3 linked regions of the Arabidopsis thaliana genome follow. The protein of the gene in region 3 interacts with the protein of the main gene of each other region in a pairwise test. Each region holds a gene or a part of one and is shown on either strand. Other genes may lie near its edges.

Region 1 (3,452 bases), on a different chromosome or scaffold from region 3:
ATTTCTGATCTTTGGTTGTGTGTTTTCTCTCATCTATAGGTGCGACTTCAACTGGAAACACTGTTAGCTGAGAAAGCACGGTTGGCTCATGAAAACTCGATATACACCCGCGAAAACCTCTATCTGAGAGGAGTCGTCGAATATCACCAGCTAACAATGCAAGATGTGGTCTACTTTGATGAGAAGACTGAAGAAGTAACGGAGGTATATCCCATTAATGTGTCTTCAATGTCTTCTTCATCAGATAACTCTTACAATCCAAATCCAAGTTTCTTGGAGCTCAAATGAAACACCACAACAACTATCAGTTTCTGCTGTTCTTGTTGTGAATCAGACAAGAAGACAAATCGTTGCCTGTAATTGCTCTGTATTTGTAGAAATATATATACTCTGTACTCTTTATTTGGGGTGGGGTCTTAAGAATTAGCAGTGAATGTTATTTATTACCCTTAATTAACTTAAATAAAAGAAGAATGTTCTATTATTTCCCTGAAACAGTACCATGAAAGCTAAAAGTTGAACTGGTGAGTAGAAATTAGTCAATTATTATTGGATATTACCTGAAATTACAGAACAAACAATATATATATAAAGCTACATTACAAAGGTTGCATAGGCTATAAGATTTGTGTTTCTTATTGAAATACATTTTTGTAGTATAGAAAATTAGAACACCTTTTTAACATAGATTGGCTTGAAACGGCTTAACTAGCGGAACCAGCGAGCCGCTTAAGTGAAGCGACATGACTTCATTGGTCGAACCAATGAGCTTCCCACCCACAAAGATGGCTGGGACCGGCGTGGAACACCCTAACCTCATTAGGGCTTTCTCGATCTCACGACATTCAGGGTCTTTATCGATCTCATGGACTGTTGGGTGAACCCCAAGGTCTTGGAAAAGTACTTGGACCGCATAGGACATGCAACACGAGCTCTTGCTGAAAATAACCACTCCTTTCTCTGACGACATTCTCACAACTTTGTCCATGGTTTCTTGAAGGAGGTCTCGATCAATCTAGGGATTGTTTCTTGGAGAAGAAGAAACAAAATCTTCCTTCTCTTGTGGATTGAAAGAGATTTAGAACTGAAAACGCCTGAGATTAAACCTCGCTTTTGGGGTTCCTGTTTGAAGAAAAGAGGGTTTTGTGTGTGTGTGTGTGTGTGTGTGTGTGTGTACTACAGTATTAAGCTCAGTGTTGCCTGAGACTTGAGTTTCTTGAACCATATGCTATTTATAAGCAAAGAAAGAAAGAAGAAAAGAATGTTAGAGACCAAAAAAAGAGAGATCACAGGAGATCTAGCTAAAGGTTCCCCAAGTACATTAAAGTGACTTTGTTAATATTTTGTTTTCCTCTTTAATTCATATTATATTAGTAAGGAAGGACCAACAAAAGTTGCATAATCACAATTCACCTACCCTTTTTTCCTCCTAGATACCAAAGTGAGCATTTTGAGTTGAACAGGACAATATGTTTCTTTGTTGCAGATGCTAAAGAATATGGTACATCCGCACATGTTTTATATATGTATTTGCAACTTTTTTATGCATGATCGGATTAGAATCTTACAATTTATGTGGACCAAGCTTTTACTTTTTCTCTCGAAGAATATTATTTTGTTCAAGAATCATGCTCAGATGAAGGGTGTGGGTGTGAGATAGCCCAAAGTGGTGGGGAATAAGCAGAGAGATATGCTTATTCTTCTCTTGATTGACGGTATTTTTCGCAGCCACGAAAAAGAGATCAGGCTGGGTTTGATGGATTGGATCGTGTGTGTGTCAACAATTAAAAACCCTATTCTTGAAACATGTCACTATACAACAAGATATGATTGTCTTTGTGAGATTCTCTCAATCTCACTTCTGATCATGAAGGAATAATAACTCCTATCGGTTTCTTACTTTCTCTTGTGTGCCACTTCCCTTTCAACAATTTGCCAAGATTCTTTCCCATTTACCACTTGACTAAAGTAAACCAGTGATTATGAGATCCCATGTCAGTTGAAGTAAGCTTAGACCTAGAGTAATATGTATAGGACATGAATTAATTTACTAACGCCAATTGATTTTGTTTAAAGATTAAGGAACTTATTTGGTCCAAGTAAGATATGTTGTCCTTCATAGAATGAGAACAATTTGAGTTGGACCAAGACAATCATCACCTCGAAAGATAAGGATTAGAGTTAGAAATCCATGAAACTTAACATAGTTACAAACTCAGCATATATTTGGAATTGATCTTCTTGATTCTTATATTAATTATATATATGACCATCTGAATATCTATGTTAACCCCCTCTTCCATTACCACCAAAAAGTGCTTCCCGTAAGATCGGAGACTTGCCCTATATAGAAATATTTGTTTTGGTTTGGTAAAAAGCTTTCTAGGGATTATAATTAATGATTGAAAAAGGGTTAGTAGCTAAGTGAGGTTATATGGTCACTCACACGATGAAACCTTGAAGAAGTGGCCATAAAAGATAATGGCAGGCTGGCGATAATGGCTACTACAAACTCCCTTATAAGCCATGCATGATCATAGATTCATAGTTACTCTTTCTCTCCGATAAATTTATATATTTATGTTTCAAAAGCTAATAATCTTTTAAGCAGTTTTCAGAAGTGAGTTGTTTAGCTTTAAGAATATACAAGAATTTGAATATTTAGAGGGTTCATTTTCGGATATGGTCTAAAGAAATGGGCCGGGTATGCATTGTCTCGACGACTATGACCAAACTGAGAAGAAAATTGAACGTGCAACCTCCTAGCTAAGTGACATACCAATGACTTATAGAAATCTCATATATGTTTAATAAGTCATAACGCAAAAATTATTTCTAACAAAAGCAAATGGGTTGATTTTGGAACTATATTTAATGGCATAGAAAACTTCTTCGAATCAGAAAAGAATATAAAATACGTGTGAGTTAGGATGTCACCATAGAAAATCTCCACAAAAGCGTGAACTCGATTCTATATATATAACATTCAATCATTCTTACTAAAAACATCTATATATATATATTTTAAACAGTATGGATCCATTCATTCTGATCTGTACCAGATTGCAAAAATTAGTAAGATATCACAATTAAATAAATGAAATACAAATTGAGTTATTTTGGATTTTCAGATGAAACCACCAAACAAATACAAGTTGACTTGAATGTTCTCCAACGCTATTTTTTTCTCTATTATATTTTATAACTAATTAATTCATTAAATCACATGTCCAAATATTTAATGATGAAACATAAAGTAAGTAAGCTAGTGACGAGAGAAGGACACCTCATTCTCATTACATAATGTGACGAGATTGAGCTGTCGTTTTGTTGTAAATATATGGTCGGGGGTCAATTATTCATATGCAGTTTTAGGTCATTTATAAAGACCATTAAAAACGTCTTTAATATTTCAACAATCTTATAATTCAATTATTAAGAAGCATCTAGAT
Region 2 (3,372 bases), on a different chromosome or scaffold from region 3:
AGTTCGAAGAACCGCTTGCATGTGACTTGGGTGGTGTCTGTAATTGAGGGTTCTATGCTCTTTGCCGTTTATGGCTCGGGCCAGCAGTAAAATGCTTCCAGCTCTAAAGGTTAACGTTTCATTGGTCTCCACTTTTTGCCGCGCCGTCTCCACTTTGTGCATCATAGTGGAAACATACCAATTGGAGTGATATCTTCCATCCCTCCCACATTTTTCACCTCAATCTAAAGGATCTCTCATATTTTGGCATTTGTGAATATTCAAATCTGATAAACTACCACGTACCCCAAACAAGAGCATTAAGGTCACATTTAAATCACTATCACCTAACAGTCTAACACAGTAATAAATTCTTTCCGTTTCACAAAAGGTTGATAAATCTTTTAAACAAACAGATCCATTAATTTCTATCTCACTTAGAAGAGTAGATGCCTAAAACGAATGATACAATGAGTACCATCAAAACATGAATACCATAAAAAAAAAAATGAATCTATATAAAATCTGATGACAAAAAAAAACGAGTACTATCAAAACAGAGCACAATGAATGCTATAAAATTATTGGGTACAATCTCTAGCAAATTTCAACTTGAGACTTTTCTTTTATTTATTTCTTTATATACATATATATGAAACGATTCAATTATAAACCGTAAACAACAATTACCAATCAAGATTCTTAATTAAAAGAAAAAAAAATAATTTTAAATTATTAATTTACAATCACAACCACAGAGCCCCAACTTCCTTAAGAATTGGAACTAACTCACCGGAGATATGAGTAGCCATAACCCTATCTAACCCTCCAAACAACCTCCCTCCTACATAAACCGCCGGTAACTTCACCGTACCTCCGCCGCCTTGAACTCCAATATTCTCCAACTCACTCAAAACTTCATCTTCCCTCTCCTCATCAATCTCAAGGACCGCCGGATTCACTCCAAGTCCAAGAAGCAGCCTCCTCACCACATGACACATGCAACATCCTCTCCGTCCAATCACAATCACCGCGTTCTCCTCCACCACCATCCGAACTCTCTCGCCGTTTCCCTGCGTTTTAAGCGATAGCGGCCGCAGAGATTCCCCGACGGTTGTCGTCATGTTATAATTTCTTGCACAAGAAATCGTTCCTTGCATTTTCAAGTATGTTTTTAAAGATAGATACCAATTAGGAAAGGAAGGTTTTGTTATATATACATGAAGAAAGAGAGATCAGAGAGGAAAGTCTAGCGTCAACGATGGTTACGTAAGGATGTGCGTCACAGGAAGCTATGGGTGATGGTGCTGTTTACGTCACTGGATTGGAGTGGACTTAGTCATAGGACCGTGTCGTTATATCGTATCACATGTTTCACGCTGACTTTTTGGATCCCACTTTATTCTTTTAATAAATCTGCACGTTTTAATTTTGGTTCCTCTCTACTTTACATAATATTTTACTGCTTTTTTCATATCAATAAAAAATAGGAGAATTCTCAGAATTTATTACTATTATATTTGGGTTGTTTCGAAACTTTCGATAGATGGTTGTATACTTAGAAATATTCGCATGTGACGACCACATAGTGGATGCTTGCTTCTTTCGATCTCGACCATCAAAACGGAATCACCAGACTATATACAACAATTTTGGTAATCTAATACTAAAATTGTAGAAAACACAATTTTGTTTTGGGATTGCTAAATAAATACACTAGAGATGCTAGAGAGACCTAGCCTAAACTTTCGATATTTTCCGTTTTATCATTCAAGTAATTAATATAACATTTAGGTGTAAAGGTTAATAATATATATGACATTATATTCTTAGTGATCAAAAATCTAAACATAAACTTTTAGGAAAAAGACATATACTACTTTCCAAATTAATGTAACACGATCATGTCATATAGTAATGACCATGTTTGGATGAAAGTGGTAATTATGAGACGTGATTAAGTACTCTTGTTGAATCCTTCTTTTAAACCAATACTAAGAATAAGTTTGACATTATTGTCATATTATTTGTACTCGGACTTTCCGAGTAGTAGTGGAGCCTTATTAACTAATAATAATAATACGCATGACAGGAAAAAACTGAGAAGGTCATTTAGAAAGAACCATCGTCGAAGGATGGACGGTGGAAAAGTCGGTAGACGTCAGCACCAAGCCACCAACTAATTTGGTTTGTTTTAATGGAATCATGACGTCTTTCTTCTTTAAAACTCATGTCACCCATTTCTTCCTAAATTTGGACTATTATATGATTATGGGAATTGCATTTCTTTATTAAAGTCACGTGTCATCCTTTAACTTTATAAGTTCTTCAGGTTCCAAACTCCAAAGCCTTTCCAATTTTATCGTTCCACCAAATCCTGAAATGAAAGTTCAACATCCATCATGGTCCCAAAACGTTAAAAATATTTTAAAAAATAGAGTGTGGGGGATTTAAAAATTCATGACCGCTAGTAAAATATACAAATTTTCAACAAAACAAATTGCATGACCGCTTTGTTGGAGATATTATATTTACAGTTGCCTAACGTGAGAAGTTTGCATAACAAAACTAATCACAAACTCACAATATATACCATTCTTCTGTGCACCGGAAATCTATAACACTTAAAATCTTAAATGTGTAAACCCTAAAATTTTACCATACAATTTTTGAATTGAGAAAACAATTATTTGTTTTTGGTTTCTAGGATTAGTAAACAATCATTTATAGTAGCATCGGATTTTTCATGGACTATGAATCTTCTCAATAGACAGACTTAGGTCACGCTTTAACCAACAAAAACTCAGCAAGAGTGGTTTCTTTCTTCTATAACAAATGCCAAATATGCGTTTCAATATAACCATTTTCTATAACAGTTAATAATCAAAATTTTGTAACGTAGAAAATGGTCTTTATTAATACTGTCGTAGATTTGTAATAACTTATTGGGCTCTGTGGTCTCTTATTGGGCTTTATAAGATTCTCCAGTAGCCCAAAAATAAACTTTCAGCGAATCTCAAAGCCAACCGCAGGTGATGCGTTTTGCTATGTAAGAGAGACGAATCTCACGCCGGAATCTCTTTTACTTCACCGTCGTTTGTTCTCCGTCGCGTCACCTTTCGATTAATTCCTTCACAGGTAAGGAAGCTTCTTCAATTTTCCTCTTACATCAATTCTCCTTTCGCATTGATCCTTGTCGTTATCGTCTCTAAACGCAAGCTTTTTCTCCAATGTTTGTGTCGATCTTAAAGCACATAGATTGATAAAGCCGTTCCGGTTCTATTGAATAAAATTCTAACCCTAGATTAGCCAGGATTTAATCGGAATTTCTCTGGATCTAATAGTTTTGTCGAGTTTGATCATTGTGACTTAGGAACTCTAATTTTGCAATCG
Region 3 (5,936 bases):
AGAGGAGCAAGAATTGGGTAAACCGGGTCCACAAAGCTCAGGATTTCCTTGCAGAAAGGAAGCTGGTAACCCGGAGACCAGAGAGTGAGGTACCTCACCTGATAATCCATTGAATGACACGTTAAAAAGAGCAAGCTTTAGGTTCTGTAAGCCTTGAGGGATCAAACCAGTAAGACTATTATCAGATAGATCAAGATAGGTCAGAACATGTAAATCAGCAAGTGATGGCGGGATTTCTCCGGTGAATGCATTGCCTGCTAGAGACAAAGAGACAAGCTTCTTGCAGTTTTTCAGTTCTGGGATCTTTCCTAAGAGCCTATTGTGAGAGATGTTTACAATACTAAGGACAGGTGAGTCGCAAAAATTCGGCGGTAACTCTCCACTAAACCGGTTTTGTGAAGCAGAAAACTTATACAAGCTCTTAACCAATCCAAGACCATGTGGGATTTCACCAGAAAAGGAATTGTTGACTATCTCAACTTGCTCCAATGCAGAAGCCAAAGACACAGACTCTGGCACTTGACCTGTGAACCGATTATTATCCGCTCTAATAATCTTAATCCTGGGTAATTTCCACAACACAACTGGAAACTCACCAGAAAATCCATTGTTCTGCACTTGAAGCCTCTCCAGACTAAGGCATTCACCAATGGAGTTAGGCAATGACCCTTCAAAGAAATTCGAGTGGAGAGAAAGGTTAATAAGCCTTTTACCACTGCAAATGCCACTAGGGAAAGAGCCAGATAACTTATTCTGTGAGACATCAAGAGACACTAAGTTCTTGAGAGAAGGGCCTAATGATCGAGGAATCTCACCACTCAGGTTGTTCAAACTCAGATCCAAGGTTCTCAAACTTGTCAAACCAACAAACGAAGTAGGAATCTCTCCATGGAACCCTGACCTATGCAACAGAAGCTGTTCAAGCTTGTCTAGCTTCCCAAGAAAAGAAGGAATCTCACTAACCAAATAGCTGTTTTCAGACAAATCAAGAACAACAAGCTCACTTAGCTTCCCAATAGCAGGAGGGACGATACCAGTGAGCAAATTACTTCCCAAGTTGAGAACTTGGAGATTAAACAATAACCCTAAATCTTCTGGAATCATACCTTCGACATGGTTACTGCTAAAGTCAATAACTTTCAAGGAACTAAACTCAGAAATCTGATCAGGGATTGTGCCCCAGATGAGATTAGAGCTGAGATTAAGAGTCTCTAAAGTAACACAACGAGACAACTGAAGTGGGATAGGCTGATTGAAGAAGTTCAAGGAGAGGTCAAGGTGAGTGAGGTAAGGGAGGTCACAAATGGAGTCAGAGATTTCACCAGAAAGATTCAAACTTTGAAGGTTAATGGAAGAGACGTAAAGAGTAGGAGCTCTAGTACATGTGATACCAGTCCAGTTACAATGGTGCGAAGAAGAAGTGTTAAACCAACCTGAAAGAGAGCCTTTTGGATCATCAAAGGAGGCTTTGAATCTGAGAAGGTTACCAAGTTCCTCGTTCTCTGTGAAAGAGAAGGTCTTGGTGAAGAAGAAGAAGAATGTCAAGGCTAGTGAGATTGAAAACTGGTGCTTGAATCTGGTAGCCATTAATGAGTTAAGAATAGAGAATGAAGAGGATCTGCTGAATGAGTGAAGTAGTGAGAGAGTGAGAGTGAGAGTGAGAGTGAGAGTGAGAGTGAATTGAATTTCAGGTGTTGAAAATACGGGGTGGGTTTTGCAATTATAAGATAGTAGGGTTGGTTAATGGTAAAAATAAAGAGTATAGGGTTTAGTTTGAAATTTCCCGTTAAATTTTGGTCGAGGGTCTATGGGGAACTGGTAGATTTGTAGACAAAACGACGTCTCGGAGATTGGAATTTCGGATCGTGTCTCTCTCTGTTTCTTTGTTTCAATCCGATTTCGAATCAAGCCCTTTACTTGTGCACCTTCAAGATTTCGTTTTTCCAGGTCAGTTTCTTCATCAAGCCAACCTTTTTTTCTAGGGTTTTTCTTCCTTTGTTTTTTTTCTGGGAGTTTTCTCCTTCACAGTCCTAAGAAGCTACTTGTTAACTCTGTCTTTTTGCTTTTGAAGTTAAACCTAGTTGACTTTCTCAAGCTTAAAGAGTTCAGCTTTTTTTTTTTTTTAATTGGTGATTTTGTTCTTAATTTTGAGCTACCAAAATCATCGAATTAAATGTTAATCTCTTGAATTCTGTTTCGGTGGTAGTTTCTTGGTTTGAAATCATAGCTGCAGCTTCATGCCGAATTCTCACTGGTTCTAGATTTAGAGTTTAGCTTTTTTTTTTTACTTTACTCGGATATGAATACTGAGTAAGGAATTGAGTCAACTCGGATGTGAATACTGAATAGTTTTTGTTCTAGCTAGAGTTGCAAAACTAAGAGATTCAGCTACTGAAGCTACTTTAGTGTCATTCAAACTGAATTGAAATGATGTGTGTGAGTGTGACTGTACCTAATTTTTCAAACTCAGGCATTTTCGACTGTGCCAACACCTTAAGTCTCACTGATTTTGACTTTGATCCGCGAGCTAAGCTTAAGGTCTGAATGAGTTTCTCAGACTTTGTAGATTGTGCAAGCTACATGTCTGATTGGGTTTGATGAATTGCTTTAAAGGTTGTGTTTTTGATGGGCTATTTTTGTCAGTCTGTTAGCTACAAACAGATTGTTCTTATATATTTGACTTTGTGACTTATGGTAGTCAGCAGAATTTCCCTTAGGACACTTTGAATAAGTAAAGGACTCTTTAGCATTCTTTAGCTGGCTTGTTTAACTGAAACAAACTAGAGAACCTTTTTCTTGACTTTATAGGACATAATTGAAAACTATGTTAGCAAAAGAGATGGTATGTAATGCTGTTTTTTTTTGTGCTCATTCAGCGCAGCCAATGCTCCGGGTGACCAACATTTGTTCCTGATTCATTTCCTATTGATTCGTATTGGTAGGTGTTGATCTTTCTTTTATATTCTATCACCTAATTTTGTTCTTTCTGTCTTTTTTTCTTTTTCTTAATTTCCTTCCGAATCCTGGCAGTCTGTGCACACAAGAGAAATTTCAAGAAGTTGTTACTAAAAGAGAGGCCACAAGTGGATATTGTCTTTGTTATCAAGTGTTAGTACAGAAAAGTGGTGAGAAAGTAATATGGCTGATACCAGTCCGAGAACTGATGTCTCAACAGATGACGACACAGATCATCCTGATCTTGGGGTTAGCTCATAATCTGGCTAGATTTTATCACTTATATTCTTCAAAATAGTGTGATTTTTTATGGACCAAACAAAAATTCTGGTGTTAATTTTAATGCAGTCGGAGGGAGCACTAGTGAATACTGCTGCTTCTGATTCGAGTGACCGATCGAAGGGAAAGATGGATCAAAAGGTGACATGTCCATCTCTGTAGATAAGATCACTGTTTTTATTCAGCCAATTTATAATCTCTTTTTGTTTCCTTATATTTTGATCCATAGACTCTTCGTAGGCTTGCTCAAAACCGTGAGGCAGCAAGGAAAAGCAGATTGAGGAAGAAGGTATATTACCTTCCATTGGTTTTATCTTTTTTTACTTTTTCTTTTCTTTTTAAATTGGTGCATCGCTAGAAGCATAGCTATTTGGTACTACGTTAATTCCTTTTAATTGCTCCCTCCATAGGCTTATGTTCAGCAGCTAGAGAACAGCCGCTTGAAACTAACCCAGCTTGAGCAGGAGCTGCAAAGAGCAAGACAGCAGGTTCAAATTTGTTTCTTATTTCTATTGATTTTTATTTTGTTATTCTGTATACCTAACGGTAAATTTCTTGTTTCTAGGGCGTCTTCATTTCAGGCACAGGAGACCAGGCCCATTCTACTGGTGGAAATGGTTGGTTGCTTATTCTCCATTAGTTTTAATTATGTTTATTTTTTGGCTTCTAATTTGTGTATAAGTTAAGTTCATATATCAACTTCCTGTTGACTTGGTGTAGACTGATCAATTAGTACATCATATCTCATCCCATTACAATACACTGGGTTATCAGAGTCAGTGGCAGACTGACATGGTTCTGATAGCAAAAACTGTTATTCTAATTAGCACTGGTGTAGATTTAGATTTACAAGATGACGAATCTCATGGGTTTGTTTTGATCATGTATAAATTTTTTAATTCAGGTGCTTTGGCGTTTGATGCTGAACATTCACGGTGGTTGGAAGAAAAGAACAAGCAAATGAACGAGCTGAGGTCTGCTCTGAATGCGCATGCAGGTGATTCTGAGCTTCGAATAATAGTCGATGGTGTGATGGCTCACTATGAGGAGCTTTTCAGGATAAAGAGCAATGCAGCTAAGAATGATGTCTTTCACTTGCTATCTGGCATGTGGAAAACACCAGCTGAGAGATGTTTCTTGTGGCTCGGTGGATTTCGTTCATCCGAACTTCTAAAGGTGAGGTCAAATTTCACTTTGTCTTCACCGATTGCATCTGTTTCTACATAGAACATAAAAAGAATGGTCATAGGGAAAAATGTGTTGAAACAGCTTCTGGCGAATCAGTTGGAGCCAATGACAGAGAGACAGTTGATGGGCATAAATAACCTGCAACAGACATCGCAGCAGGCTGAAGATGCTTTGTCTCAAGGGATGGAGAGCTTACAACAGTCACTAGCTGATACTTTATCGAGCGGGACTCTTGGTTCAAGTTCATCAGGGAATGTCGCAAGCTACATGGGTCAGATGGCCATGGCAATGGGAAAGTTAGGTACACTCGAAGGATTTATCCGCCAGGTACAACACTTGTGATGTTTTGAGATGATATCTTAGTTAAGAGTATATATATATATCAATAGGTTAATAATCGTCTCTTGGTTGGTGGTGGCAGGCTGATAATTTGAGACTACAAACATTGCAACAGATGATAAGAGTATTAACAACGAGACAGTCAGCACGTGCTCTACTTGCAATACACGATTACTTCTCACGGCTACGAGCTCTAAGCTCCTTATGGCTTGCTCGACCCAGAGAGTGAAACTGTATTTTGGTCACATGTCAGCTGTACAAAATCCATATGGACACAAAACCAGGAGAGACTATTAATCAACACTTGTCAGATTCTTCTTACCAAATCCATCAACAAATAAGCAAATTTCTGGGAAACAAAAGACTCTTTGTATGTAGGTTTCTTCTACATGGTTGTGGTAATTCATGTTGTTTTAGTTGTAGTCATCAGTTTTTAATTTAGCATTTGAAAAGTTCAATGTTGTTTATATAGCATCTTCGATTATCTTAGAAAGGTTATTGAATTTTGTTTTTTTTTGTTACTTTTGTGTGTGGTAAAGGTGTTTTAACCTTGCAACTTCTGTACTGTAATCATTTAACAATATTAAGATGTTCTATTTGAGTTTTGTAGTTTCATCGCTTGTGTCTTAAATCTTATTTAGTGAGGATTCTAATGTAAACTTCCAAGAGATGATGAAAATGAATTTACATTCAAAGTAAGTGTGATAGATTTTTTTGTAATAAAAAAAGGGACATGTCATTGTCAAAACCAAGAATTATTTTGTTTTTAGAAAAAAGAGAGTGTTGCAATTTTCAGAGGACTTTTTAACCCTCAGCATCTAGAGGTCCACCATCACTTGAGTTTCGTCTTCCATTCCTGTTTTTTTTCAGAGACCGGCAAAATAAAAAAAAAGAAGATCGTACAACTAAAAATACCTCAAAGAAGGAAGATACAAAAGTAGTAACCTTTGTTGGTGATTGATACTATATCTGTTGTGGGTTTTAGACAAAGACCACGTCTTTGCAGTTGTAGATTGGAATTTTCCGGATCTTTCTCTAAATCGCTTTTTCTCCGAGCAACTTTTGTTTGGGGTTAAGCTCAAAGAATCCGTTCTTTTCAGGTGAGTCTCTTCTTCAATAGTCTTAGGGGTTTTAGTTCTTCAGTTTTCTTATTCTGCCTCTGCTTTCATGATTGT

The links.
Region 1: the proteins of AHBP-1B (region 3) and AT2G30540 interact in a two-hybrid assay, tested with the Arabidopsis thaliana proteins (2 studies listed by BioGRID).
Region 2: the proteins of AHBP-1B (region 3) and GRX480 interact in binary tests that used the Arabidopsis thaliana proteins (3 or more experiments, as listed by UniProt).

What each region holds. Positions count from the first base shown.
Region 1 is NC_003071.7:13,010,580-13,014,031, forward strand, and holds AT2G30540 (Thioredoxin superfamily protein), read right to left. Parts: upstream 1,465-3,452; 5' UTR 989-1,464; coding exon 680-988; 3' UTR 526-679; downstream 1-525. Other genes in the region: AT2G30530 (zinc finger CCCH domain protein), read left to right, coding at 40-288. UniProt on the Arabidopsis thaliana protein: May only reduce GSH-thiol disulfides, but not protein disulfides.
Region 2 is NC_003070.9:10,012,909-10,016,280, forward strand, and holds GRX480 (Thioredoxin superfamily protein), read right to left. Parts: upstream 1,349-3,372; 5' UTR 1,140-1,348; coding exon 726-1,139; 3' UTR 526-725; downstream 1-525. UniProt on the Arabidopsis thaliana protein: Has a glutathione-disulfide oxidoreductase activity in the presence of NADPH and glutathione reductase. Reduces low molecular weight disulfides and proteins.
Region 3 is NC_003076.8:2,149,185-2,155,120, forward strand, and holds AHBP-1B (bZIP transcription factor family protein), read left to right. Parts: upstream 1-1,655; 5' UTR 1,656-1,947; exon of another isoform or gene 1,948-1,951; intron 1,952-2,124; exon of another isoform or gene 2,125-2,613; intron 2,614-2,876; 5' UTR 2,877-2,938; exon of another isoform or gene 2,939-2,942; intron 2,943-3,030; 5' UTR 3,031-3,138; coding exon 3,139-3,204; intron 3,205-3,303; coding exon 3,304-3,375; intron 3,376-3,463; coding exon 3,464-3,523; intron 3,524-3,644; coding exon 3,645-3,722; intron 3,723-3,799; coding exon 3,800-3,851; intron 3,852-4,138; coding exon 4,139-4,410; intron 4,411-4,503; coding exon 4,504-4,749; intron 4,750-4,843; coding exon 4,844-4,990; 3' UTR 4,991-5,402; downstream 5,403-5,936. Other genes in the region: AT5G06940 (Leucine-rich repeat receptor-like protein kinase family protein), read right to left, coding at 1-1,587.